Solanum lycopersicum: one gene and its partners. The protein of the gene in region 1 interacts with the protein of each later gene in a pairwise test. Links are inferred from orthologs where the notes say so. Each region holds a gene or a part of one and is shown in the gene's direction. Other genes may lie near its edges.

Region 1 (3,757 bases):
TCGCAACTAAGGGAGAAAAACAAAATGTGCTATATCATGTATACTTATTAATGGGCCTGGGCTGGATTGGGCCAAAAGCCAGATCATTTATGGGTATATATATATATATATATATATATATAACACAAGTTGGATACATAATATGTAGCTCAGACACATTAAAGAATATCTCGAGATACATTTAAAACCATCTGAGATACATAACATTTAGCTCGAATACATTAAAAACTAGCCCGAATATATTATAAAATAAATCGGATACACTAAAGACTGACTCAGATTCATTAATATGTAGCTCAGATACATTAAAGACTGATTCAGATACATTAATATGTAGCTTGGATACACTAAAGGAATAAGAAATTTTAGAGTTTTTTTTTAAAATAGAAGGAGATATTGGAAATAAGAAAAACATTGACGTGTATTTCAGTAATTTTTCCATATATATATATATATATATATATATATATATATATATCCTTTACGTTTACTAACTAATATATAATTAATATACAACAACAATATTTAAATCATGCTCGTGGGGGCTTTGGGAGTAGAATATATGCAAACTTTATCATTACCACGTGAAGCTGGTAAGACTATTTTCAAAAGACTCTCGACTCGAGTACATGAAAAGGAAAAACGACAGTGAAACAGATATAACAATTACTACGAAAATAATAATAATAACAAAATAATGTAATTATCGAAACATCAAATGTTTTAATGCTATGTCAAGTTAAGACATCGAATATCGGTCCTTAAATATTAAAAGGGAGAAAACAAAGTGCTATGTTCCTTAAATATGCTTATTAATGGGCCTGGGCTGGATTTGGTCAATATCCAGATTATTTATGGGCCTAGATACATATCCTTTACATTTGCAATTGTAAAAATTAATTAATTAATTTCATTTGCAATTTCACATAATTAATAAATTCATAATTTCATTATCTCATTAATACACAACAAACAACAATATTGAGATTCCACACGTGGATTCAGAGAGAATAAAGTATACACAAATTTTATTCTATACGTGGAGATAGAAAAGTTATTTTTAAAAGATTCTTACCTCGAATACGATAAATCATGATATAATAACTATTACGAAAACAGTAACAACTAATATTACACACTAAAACATCAATTATATTAGGTAAAATAAATTAATATAACTTACCCAAAAAACGAAAATTCGGTAATAAATAATAATTCAGGCGTTTCATTTTTTAATTTTTTTAACAAACAGTAGTTTCTCGCGGGAGACTCGTTAAGCTAAAGACGGAAATTTGGCGGTAAAAAACCTAACAGACAAAACACGTGTCGAATTTTGATTGGCTAATCCTACAACGTTGTCGGCTATGTATGGACATAAACCATATGACATACACTTTATGTATTTTCCCGCCCTAAAGTTAGGGTTTATAGCTAAACAGAGCAAACAAACAAATAAAAAAAAAAAAGAAGCAAAATTGGTCATAGAGATAGAGAGAGAAAGGCGAGGGAAAATTAGGGGTTTTTTAGTTTTTGAAGAATTTGGATCTAATTATACAGATCTGAGAAATTTGTAGAATTTTGGGTTCTGGGTTTGGGTTTCTTTAGTTAGTTGTGGATGAATATGGAGGAGCTGAAGAATCATTCGAATTCTGAAGAGAATGGTTCGGTGGACTCTCTTGAAGTTCGATTTACTGATTTCTGCAAGGTACGCTTAGTTTTGTTGAGTTTGATTTTAGGTTGTAAATACTTTCAGCTGATTTTTTTGGGCTTGATTTAGTTGAGAAAGAAGGAAGATTTGGTCGTTGTTGTGTTTTGTTGGTTAATTTGTTTAAAAAAATCATTTTTGTGAAACCCCATGTGTGAAATATTTGTTCTTTAACGGTTTCTGTTATGCGTTTGGCGATTTTAGTATTTTTAGCATTTGTTGTTTGATTTACAGAATGAGTTTCTTGTTTTCTGCATTTTTTTAGTTGTAGCGTCGAGACCCATGTATGCAAATTTTGTTCTTTTCTGGTTTTGTTTATGGATATGACGATTTTAACTTTTTTTAGGTGGGATTATTACGTTTGTTGTTTGATTTACAGAATGTGTTTCTTGTTTCCTGCATTTTGAAATCGTAGCTAAGAGGCCCATGTGTGCAAAATTTGTTCTTTTTCTGGTTTCTTTTATGGGTGTTGCCATTTTAATTTTTTGTTTTTAGGCGAATTTTAGTAGTTTTTTCATTTGTTTGATTTACAGAATGAGTTTCTTGTGTTGCATTTTCTACTTGTAGCTCAAAGACCCATGATGCAAAAATTTTGTTCTGTTACTGATATGGTAAACTTTGGATTTTAGTATTTTTTAACATTTGTTGTTTGATTTACAGAATGGATTGTCGATGGGTGAGAGTTTTATGGTAGAAGCTAGAAAGCTGTTTATGGACAGTAAACATCTTTTACTGTCAAATAATGCTGCTATTGGAGCTATAACGGTAAGTCCTCATGATTCTATCTTTTGCTAATTTAGTGTGAAATGACAAGTTAGGTGGTTTTAATATGGACTAGAATTGACTTGAGTGTGTTCTTTAACAGCCGGAGGAAGTTGAACGGTATTGGTTTGTGTTTGTTCTGTTCTCGGTGAAGAGATTAAGTGAGAATGAAGCTAGGAATTCGAGTAATGGGAATGAAGGAAATGGATTTGATCTATGCCAAATTCTGCGAGGGGCGAAACTCAAGTGCGTTTATCTAATGTTCTTGTGTTTCTTGTAAAAGTCGTGATTTTATCTCTGTTCTTATGAATTTTGTTTCGTTTTTTAGTGTTCTAGATTTCTTCAAAGAATTACCACAGTTTATTGTTAAAGTTGGTCCAGTATTAAGCAACCTATATGGTTCAGATTGGGAGAAGAGACTTCAGGTAATGATGACGTGGAGGGTTAATCTCATGTTCTGCAGCTATTGTTGTTTCTATTGGCTCTCTTTGTCCTAACAATGTGGCACAGTTGGTGGTGACACCGTTGTTTCCAATTATAGACTGTGACATTCTTTTTTGTACACTAAAAAGGAAAGTGTGCCACATGTATTAGGACAGAGGAGTTATATATTATTATTAAGCATTTATTCATGCACTTAAAATTTATTTGAACTGTTGTATTAGGCAAAGGAATTGCAGACCAACTTTGTGCATTTGAGCCTTTTAAGCAAGTGAGTACTCTTTTCAAGCACTAATTTCCTCTACTTATATTGCTTTGTGATGCTCATTCCGTTAATACTCAGGATGTGGCTTTTTGTGGTACATCTGATAACAATTTTACTGCTTTTAGGTACTACAAGCGCGCATATCAGGAGCTGTTTTTGTCAAGTGATAACAATGAAGTAAATCAGTCTGCTACTTCTAATTCGATTGTCCTCTTGCCACAGTATTATCGTTTTGGCTGGTTGCTTTTTCTTTCACTTCGCGAACATGTATTCAGCCGCTTCAAGGACCTTGTGACATGCACAAATGGTTTAGTTTCTGTGCTGGTCAGTTTCTACTCTATTTAGTTGATTCCTTGGATTCTGTCTGGTTTATTATGTTGTGTGTATGTTGTATTGGGCATGCTAATAATAGACTCTGTTTAACTTGTGTGCAATGTTGTAAAGGTTAAGTCACGAAGCTAGGTGCACCTCAGGTTCGGTGCTTAGCATTACGTAAATGTTTAGTACAAGCACTAGAGTGCTTAAGGTGAAACTCAATGGAAACCTCCTTTTTTTTTCTAAATTGGTAACTTAAGAGGCCAGTG
Region 2 (3,757 bases), on another chromosome or scaffold:
TTATGGTCCTGTCGACAATTTCATAGAAAGCAATGCTGTGAGTATCCGATCCCCAACGACCTTTTTGGCTATCTTATCTCGAGCTGTGAGCTATCATAGAAATCACCATATTTGTGTCCGTGTCCATTTGTTAATAACCTATAAATTATCTTAAATTATTCTTAGTCTTTAGTCGTTTGGAGTGAATAATAATTTATATTATTTAAATACATGCGATTAAGGTATCGTCTTATTTATATTGTTAATTGTTATTAATTATATTGTAATGTTATTTTTTTAACGAAATAAATTCATTATATATAAATTTATGGGTACTCCTAATCATTTTTAGAATTGAAGGATATAAATCATATGTGTTGAAATAATCAAGTATTTTACGGAAAATTTGGGGTCAAACACATGGTGAAACTTCATCCAAATCTAATTTACCAAGAATATTCGAGAATTTAGGATCAAACGCTAGCTTAATTTGTTGTTTAGTCTGTAAGTTTGAGATAACTTATCTCCGGATTAATAATTAATATCGGATGAAATTATCCTTCCTCTTGGGTGATATAATAATCTCGGGATAAAATAGGTGATGATAGAAATATCCCTTTAAACCCTTTCTATATATTACTTTTCACATTCATTGAAGATATTTTTCTTATAATTTATATAATGCATATTATTTTGAATATAACATATCAAACACTCAATAAATATAATCTCATTATATCTTCTTTCGTCATGATTTATCTCATCATAGCTTAAATTTAAACAAAAACAATTTCTTTTTCCACATTTTTTAAAAGTTATATTTATATTTAAACACAACTTCAATATCGTAAAAAAATATTTTTAATTATTTTCTTCAAAATTTACATTTTTAGATCGAAATGCCTACTTACTTAAAATTAAATCTAAGTAATCGTTTGATTAAGAAGAAGTTATTCCGTATGAACTAAGTTATGTTGTGTAAAATTTGTTATTCTATATATTATCTTACCATGACTCTAAAGTTAAAAATTCATGTGGACCGGACATATAAGTTGAAGAAATAATAAGTAGCTAAAGTCAAACGGACGAAGACGCCTCACTAATCGAGATGAGAAAGAAAGCAAAGAAGAAGAAAACAAAAGTTTCCATCATTTCAGCCAACACCTACACTTAACTTGCCAGAGAAAGGTACCTATCTCCACTGCTCATAAAAAAAAAAAAAAAAAAAGCCCAACTCTCTTCATTCCATAACTATAAAATATTTTTTTATTATATGTTCACAATATCAACATTTTTGCAATATACATAGAAAAATCTAGACTCGTAGCACTAATAGCCGCAATAATAATTGTTGGGGAAAAAGAGGAAAAGATAGCTCATGGATTACAAAATGTTTTTTTATATGATATGATTAATAAGTTTTCAACAACTTCGGTACTTTATGTCGTCAATAAATTCCATTTTTCTTAGCCTCTTTCTCATTGTCAATACTGAAATTGCATATAAATCCAAAATGCAACCAGTCAAGTGTTTATAAACAAGTATAGTAGAGTTGCCCTAGGTGAAGAACGTGTTGTTTGTGTTGCATTGTGGTTATTTGATTGAGAAAATTAAACCACAGAATCCCAATGCTGGCTGTCTAAATCTTTTCATCGCTATATGTTTGGATTCAGGTAGCTGATTTTACTAACCCGATCCCAGTATATGATGGAGATGAAACATTTCATAGAGTTTGAGAATCTATTTCATAGTAAACATGGCCAAGGCTTTACCTGTGAGTGGTGAGAACTGCACCGGTGTGAACGTCGTCGGTGATAGTAGTGGTGAGAAGACAAGCAAGCAACTTTTCCACTGTGAAAACGGAAAAATGGTTAGGAAGAGAGCGGCGTCTGACATGGAGATCCAGACCGGCGCCGGTGAAGAGCATAGATATTTACGCCGGCCTGCTATGATAGGGGGGTCTCATTCTCAGGTTGGTGATTCAAGGGTTTGTGGTAATAGTAATTTTGGTCATGGTATGAACAGTAATTTGACAACGACGATGACGATGACGACTCAGGTTTCTAACTACTCCACTATGCAAATGTTACCTTCTTCCACGAACTTGTGCGGTGTGACGTCAAGAGGAGGGCCTGGGATTGATACCGGATTTTCTAATTCAACCCCAAACCTAACTTACACAGACGCCATAACATCGCATCATCAGCCACAAGGTACTCAAACCCAGAACAACAACAGTCAATCCCCATCTGTTTGTGTTTTCTCCGGTCTGCCGCTTTTTCCTCCAGATAGAAACCGCCAAAACAGTGGTTTACTACTGCAACAACCTCCTGCTGCTGCAGCAGCTGTTGTATCTTCACCTCTTACAACTGGAAGAATCGATTCCATGGAGGATAGTACGTCGGCAACGGCATGGATTGACAGTATTATAAAGGATTTAATCAACAGCTCCGCACAAGTATCGGTGCCCCAACTCATACAGAATGTAAGGGAGATTATTCACCCTTGCAATCCGTATCTCGCATCTCTTCTCGAGTACAGGCTTCGCTCTCTCACTAGTAATAATAATGGCGGTGCTGATCAAAATGACCCCATGGAGTGCTGGAGAAGAAAAGAATCGCTTCCGGCACAGCTCGCTGGTTTACAACAGGCCCAAAATAATGCCAATTTATTGCAGCACAATATTTTATCCCTTCCTGATTCCTCAAATAATCAATACTTAAACTGGGATATAGCTTTGCCAAACAGCCATAACGCTCCGGTAGCGCCTTCTCATAACCAGCACCAGCAGCTAGGCGGCAATAATCCTACTGCAACAGATCTTTCATTTGTTACACTTTCTCCTCAAGTGCAGCAGCAGCAACAACAACAACAACAAGAATCTCCCCATTCTCATTCTCAGCAACAGGCCGCAGTAGACTTAGATCAACAACAGAAGCAGCAGCAATCTTCTAGTTCTCTATCTCCAACATCGGTAGCCGACAATAGCGCCAAAACAAAAACTTCAACCCCAGCTCCACCAGTTCCGATCAACACGTACCGAGAAAAAAAGGAAGAAGAACGACAACAGAAGAGGGATGAAGAAGGATTACACCTTCTGACCTTGCTATTGCAATGTGCAGAAGCCGTATCCGCTGATAATTTAGAAGAGGCAAATAAAATGCTATTAGAAGTATCCGAACTCTCCACACCGTTCGGCACATCTGCACAGCGTGTTGCAGCATATTTCTCAGAAGCCATGTCAGCAAGGCTGTTGAATTCATGCTTAGGAATATACGCAGCCCTACCAATGACCAGCGTCCCCATGCTTTACACACAGAAAATGGCATCTGCTTTCCAGGTGTTTAACGGAATCAGCCCTTTCATCAAATTCTCACATTTCACAGCCAATCAAGCTATACAAGAAGCTTTCGAGAGAGAAGACCGGGTACACATAATCGACCTTGATATAATGCAAGGTCTTCAATGGCCCGGTCTTTTCCACATCTTGGCTTCCAGGCCCGGTGGACCTCCTTACGTTCGGCTCACGGGGCTTGGAACCTCGATGGATGCTCTTGAAGCAACCGGCAAACGACTATCCGATTTTGCCGAACGATTAGGCCTTCCTTTCGAGTTTTTACCAGTTGCTGATAAAGTTGGAAACTTAGACCCTGAGAAATTGAATGTGAGCAAAAGAGAAGCTGTAGCAGTTCATTGGTTGCAACATTCCCTTTACGATGTTACTGGCAGCGACCCTAATACACTCTCCCTCTTACAAAGGTACACAACTTCTATGTTT
Region 3 (3,757 bases), on another chromosome or scaffold:
AACAATATATTCAATGTGACCTAAAAAATGTGACATATGGATTATGGAGGATAAATTATAAGCAAACTTTACTCTCATTTCATGTAAGGTAGATAGGTTTCGGATAAACACTCAACTAAAGAAAAATATTTTTTGTAGAATCTACGATAATAAAAATGCAAAAAAGAGAAGTATCTAAAACAAAAATAATAAGATTATAAGAAAATATAGGATTAATAGTAGTGATTAGTATAAGATGGGAGTAGAAAAGTTGCTCCTACTATTAGGATGGGCATAAATATTGAAAAATAGAGGAATTTAAACGTAGTTTTATCAATGTACGTTACGTAAGAAACTCATTTTCATCCTTGTCCTCCTCGCGCAGCAGAGTGACGCAATAATTAAGTACAATAACTGTTCCATATTGACGAGACACGTCATCATTTAGCATAGTTTTAAAGATTCTTAAATATCTCACACTTTTTTAATTTTACCCTCGTTTTATATTCTTCATTCTCATCGAAAAATTCATTTTTAAAAACAAATTGAAAAAAAACAAACTGAATTGAACTAGTTTGGTTCGGTATTCAGCGCACACTTTTTCAAAACTGCAAACAAAAAAAGTTGCTCCTATTATTAGGGTGAACATAAATATTGAAAAATAGAGAAATTCAAACATATTTTTATCGATATACATTACGTAAAAAACTCATCTTCGTCCTTGTCTTCCTCGAGCAGCGGCGTGACACAATATTTAAGTACAATAACTGTTCCATATTGACGAGAAACATCAATCACTTAACATAGTTTTAAATTTTCTTATATATCTCACACCTTTTTTTTTATTTTACCCTCATTTATTCTTCATTCTCATCGAAAAAATCATTTTTAATTGAAAAAAACGAACCGAATCGAACTAAGTTTGGTTTGGTATTCACTCCACACTTTTTCAAAACTGCAAACCAAAGAGCCAAACGACGAATGGCGAACGCCACCCCTACCTACTAGAATCATGTTTCTTCGACGTAACTTTCTACCCTAATTTTTGACTTCCGTCATTTGATCGCCCAAAAAAAATAAAAATAAAATAGTAAATTTTTTACCAATAGAAGGGTCAAATTGCAAATAATAAGTATTCATATGGACCAAAATGAATAAAAACAAAACATTAACATTTTCTCTTCCCTCCACATATATACAAAAACCAAAATTCCCTCCCTTCCCTCGTTTTCTCCTTTTTGCCTTTCACAGAGAAACCCTTACCCCCTACCCCCCCCCCTTACCCCCTACCCCCTTTACCCCTACCCCACCCCCACCCCATCCCCTCAGAACCCTTCTCTTCAACAATCCAAAAATCTTGAGTTCAAAGGGTATATCTTTTGATTACAAAACTAGGGAAAAAATGACAGGTTCTAGTGCATCCACTGGTGGGGCGGCGCCACCCACTGCTCAGTCATCATCCGCCGTTGTAAACGGTGGAGGGAGGAGTCAGATCTCTCATCCGATCAAAAGATACTTACCCTTTGCTTCTATGAGGCCACCTTTTGTTACACCTGAGGATTACCACCGATTTTCTATACCTGGTGTTGATTCTAGAATTGGGTCTGCTAGTTTGCAGCCTGAAGCTATTGTGGTTAAGTCACCTGTGAGTTTGTTGGATTCTTGTTTGAGTTATTAGTGTTGTTTTTTTATGGGGATTGCTGTTTGATTTTGTGTAGTGGGTTTTTGTGTTTTGAAATATGGGAACTTTAGATTAAGTAGTTGAGACTTGAAATTAGATGTTTTGAAGAAATATATCTTGTGGGGTTTGATTAAATGTAGCTAAAAAGATGTAATTTTGAGTTGAATTGTTGCTGTTTTTGTGCATTTTGCAGTAAATAGCATTCTTGTTTGAGCTTATAGTGTAGTTGTTGGGGATTGCTGTTTGATTCTAATAGTGGGTTTACGTTTTGAAATATGGGAACTTTAGATTAGAGGTGAGATTAAGGAGTGGAGACGTAAATTAGAGATTTCGAAGGAGGATATTTTGTTAGGTTTGATTAAATGTAGCTAAAAAGATGTAATTTTGAGTTCAATTGTTGCTGTTTCTGTGCATTTTGTGTTTACTTGCATTCTTGTTTGAGCTAATAGTGTAGTTGTTGAGGATTGCTGTTTGATTTTATTAGTGAGTTTTGCATTTTGAAATATGGGAACTTTAAATTAGAGGTGGGATAGAGTAGTGGAGACGTGAATTAGAGATTTCAAAGGAATATCTTGTGGGGTTTGATTAAACGTAGCTAAAAAGGTGTAATTTTGAGTTCAATTGTTGCTGTTTTTGTGCATTTTGTGGTTACTAGCATTCTTGTTTGAACTAAGATTGTCGTTTATGGATGCTTTTAATTGGGATTGATGTTGGACTTTGGTAGTGTGTCTTGCCTTTTGAAATGGAACTTCAGATTATAACTGGGATTGATTAGTAGAGACATGAATAAGATATTTTGAAGAAAGATATATTGTGGGGTTTGATTATATGTCGTTAAAAAGGTGTAATTTCGAGTTAAGTTGTTGCTGTTTTGTGCATTTTGTGGTACTTGCGATTTTGTTGATCTGCAATATTTGTATTTCAATGTGTGAATAACTTTTGAGGCTAATTATTGTGGTTGGAACCTGGTATTGGGTTTGTTAAGCTAATGGATGGTATTTGGTATGTAGCTAATTGGCTTTTGTTGGGTTAAGATGTTAAGCTGCCTTTGGTTTTTCATTTCTAATTTCCCCGGAGGTCATTTGCCTCTTGTTAGCTGAAACATCCAGATACTGCTGGCTAAATTTGGTAAAAAGGAGTAAATGAGTCAAAGTGAGTTGGTTGTGATTTATGCTGTTCTGTCATTCATGTTTGCACACGTGACAACCAATTTGGTTACATAGTTGAACATGTAATGTAGCTTTGTTGATCTTATAAACCTCATGAAACCTGAATGCCATTTTCTTTTTGTATGTGGATATTATTGGTGTCATTCATGTTTTGAGTCCTATTGATAGCTAGAGAAGATTGAGTGGGAGGATTTTTATTGTTTGTTCATCTTCAGAATTAATTCCTTTGTTTAAGTAACAATTGGGACTTGTTTGTGTTCTCTAATTAGTTAGCACTAAATTAAACTGAAGCTCTGTTAGTTATGGCTTTCCTTCTATAGGTATATTATTTTAGGTGTGAAAGGTTTAGTGCTTATGTCTTGGAACCAGCCTCTCCATAAGGAAGTTATCTGTCTACAGTCACCTTCCCTGGAGCCTGCACAGAGGGAGCCTTCTTACACTGCTGTCCACCCTTGTTGTTTATAGTTTGATAATTGTGTGCCCAAGTCAAGAATTTTTTAATTCTATATACTCTAATTTATCCCAGGGAAAATTCAGAGTTTAGTCGTAATTGTTCCTCAGTTTGCTATGTTTTACTTGTTGATCACTTATTTCTACTTTGCACACTTAATGCGCCTGTAGGCACTAAAGCGGAAGACAGGCTATATTAAAGAGGTTGAGTCCAGTGACTGGACTGCTAATTCCGGGTATGCAGATGTGGCCAATAGTCCTCTTGGAACGCCTGTGTCTGGAAAAGGAGGAAGAGCACATGGACGGTCAAGAGCCACAAAAAATAATAAATCTGGACCTCAAACTCCTGTCTATAATGCTGGTGAGGCTTGTGTCTAATTTTTTATGTCTTGATTGTAACTGGACACGAGTAAATGTTCAAATTTTATTTCCCTCCGCATCTATCTAAACGTTATTTATAGAAAACGGTCTGTACTGT

The links.
Region 2: the proteins of RBR1 (region 1) and 101255150 interact in binary tests that used the Arabidopsis thaliana proteins (3 or more experiments, as listed by UniProt). The link is inferred for Solanum lycopersicum from reciprocal best matches to the Arabidopsis thaliana genes RBR1 and SCR.
Region 3: the proteins of RBR1 (region 1) and transcription factor E2FA interact in binary tests that used the Arabidopsis thaliana proteins (3 or more experiments, as listed by UniProt). The link is inferred for Solanum lycopersicum from reciprocal best matches to the Arabidopsis thaliana genes RBR1 and E2F3.

The regions. Positions count from the first base shown.
Region 1 is NC_090808.1:68,046,337-68,050,093, forward strand, and holds the start of RBR1 (retinoblastoma-related protein 1), read left to right. Parts: upstream 1-1,475; 5' UTR 1,476-1,615; coding exon 1,616-1,705; intron 1,706-2,365; coding exon 2,366-2,470; intron 2,471-2,570; coding exon 2,571-2,713; intron 2,714-2,795; coding exon 2,796-2,892; intron 2,893-3,132; coding exon 3,133-3,179; intron 3,180-3,298; coding exon 3,299-3,497; intron 3,498-3,757. UniProt on the Arabidopsis thaliana protein: Key regulator of entry into cell division. Acts as a transcription repressor of E2F target genes, whose activity is required for progress from the G1 to the S phase of the cell cycle.
Region 2 is NC_090809.1:57,241,677-57,245,433, reverse strand, and holds the start of 101255150 (protein SCARECROW), read left to right. Parts: upstream 1-1,021; 5' UTR 1,022-1,167; intron 1,168-1,221; exon of another isoform or gene 1,222-1,652; 5' UTR 1,653-1,735; coding exon 1,736-3,738; intron 3,739-3,757. UniProt on the Arabidopsis thaliana protein: Transcription factor required for quiescent center cells specification and maintenance of surrounding stem cells, and for the asymmetric cell division involved in radial pattern formation in roots.
Region 3 is NC_090800.1:2,212,608-2,216,364, forward strand, and holds the start of transcription factor E2FA, read left to right. Parts: upstream 1-1,169; 5' UTR 1,170-1,381; coding exon 1,382-1,624; intron 1,625-3,450; coding exon 3,451-3,640; intron 3,641-3,757. UniProt on the Arabidopsis thaliana protein: Transcription activator that binds DNA cooperatively with DP proteins through the E2 recognition site, 5'-TTTC[CG]CGC-3' found in the promoter region of a number of genes whose products are involved in cell cycle regulation or in DNA replication.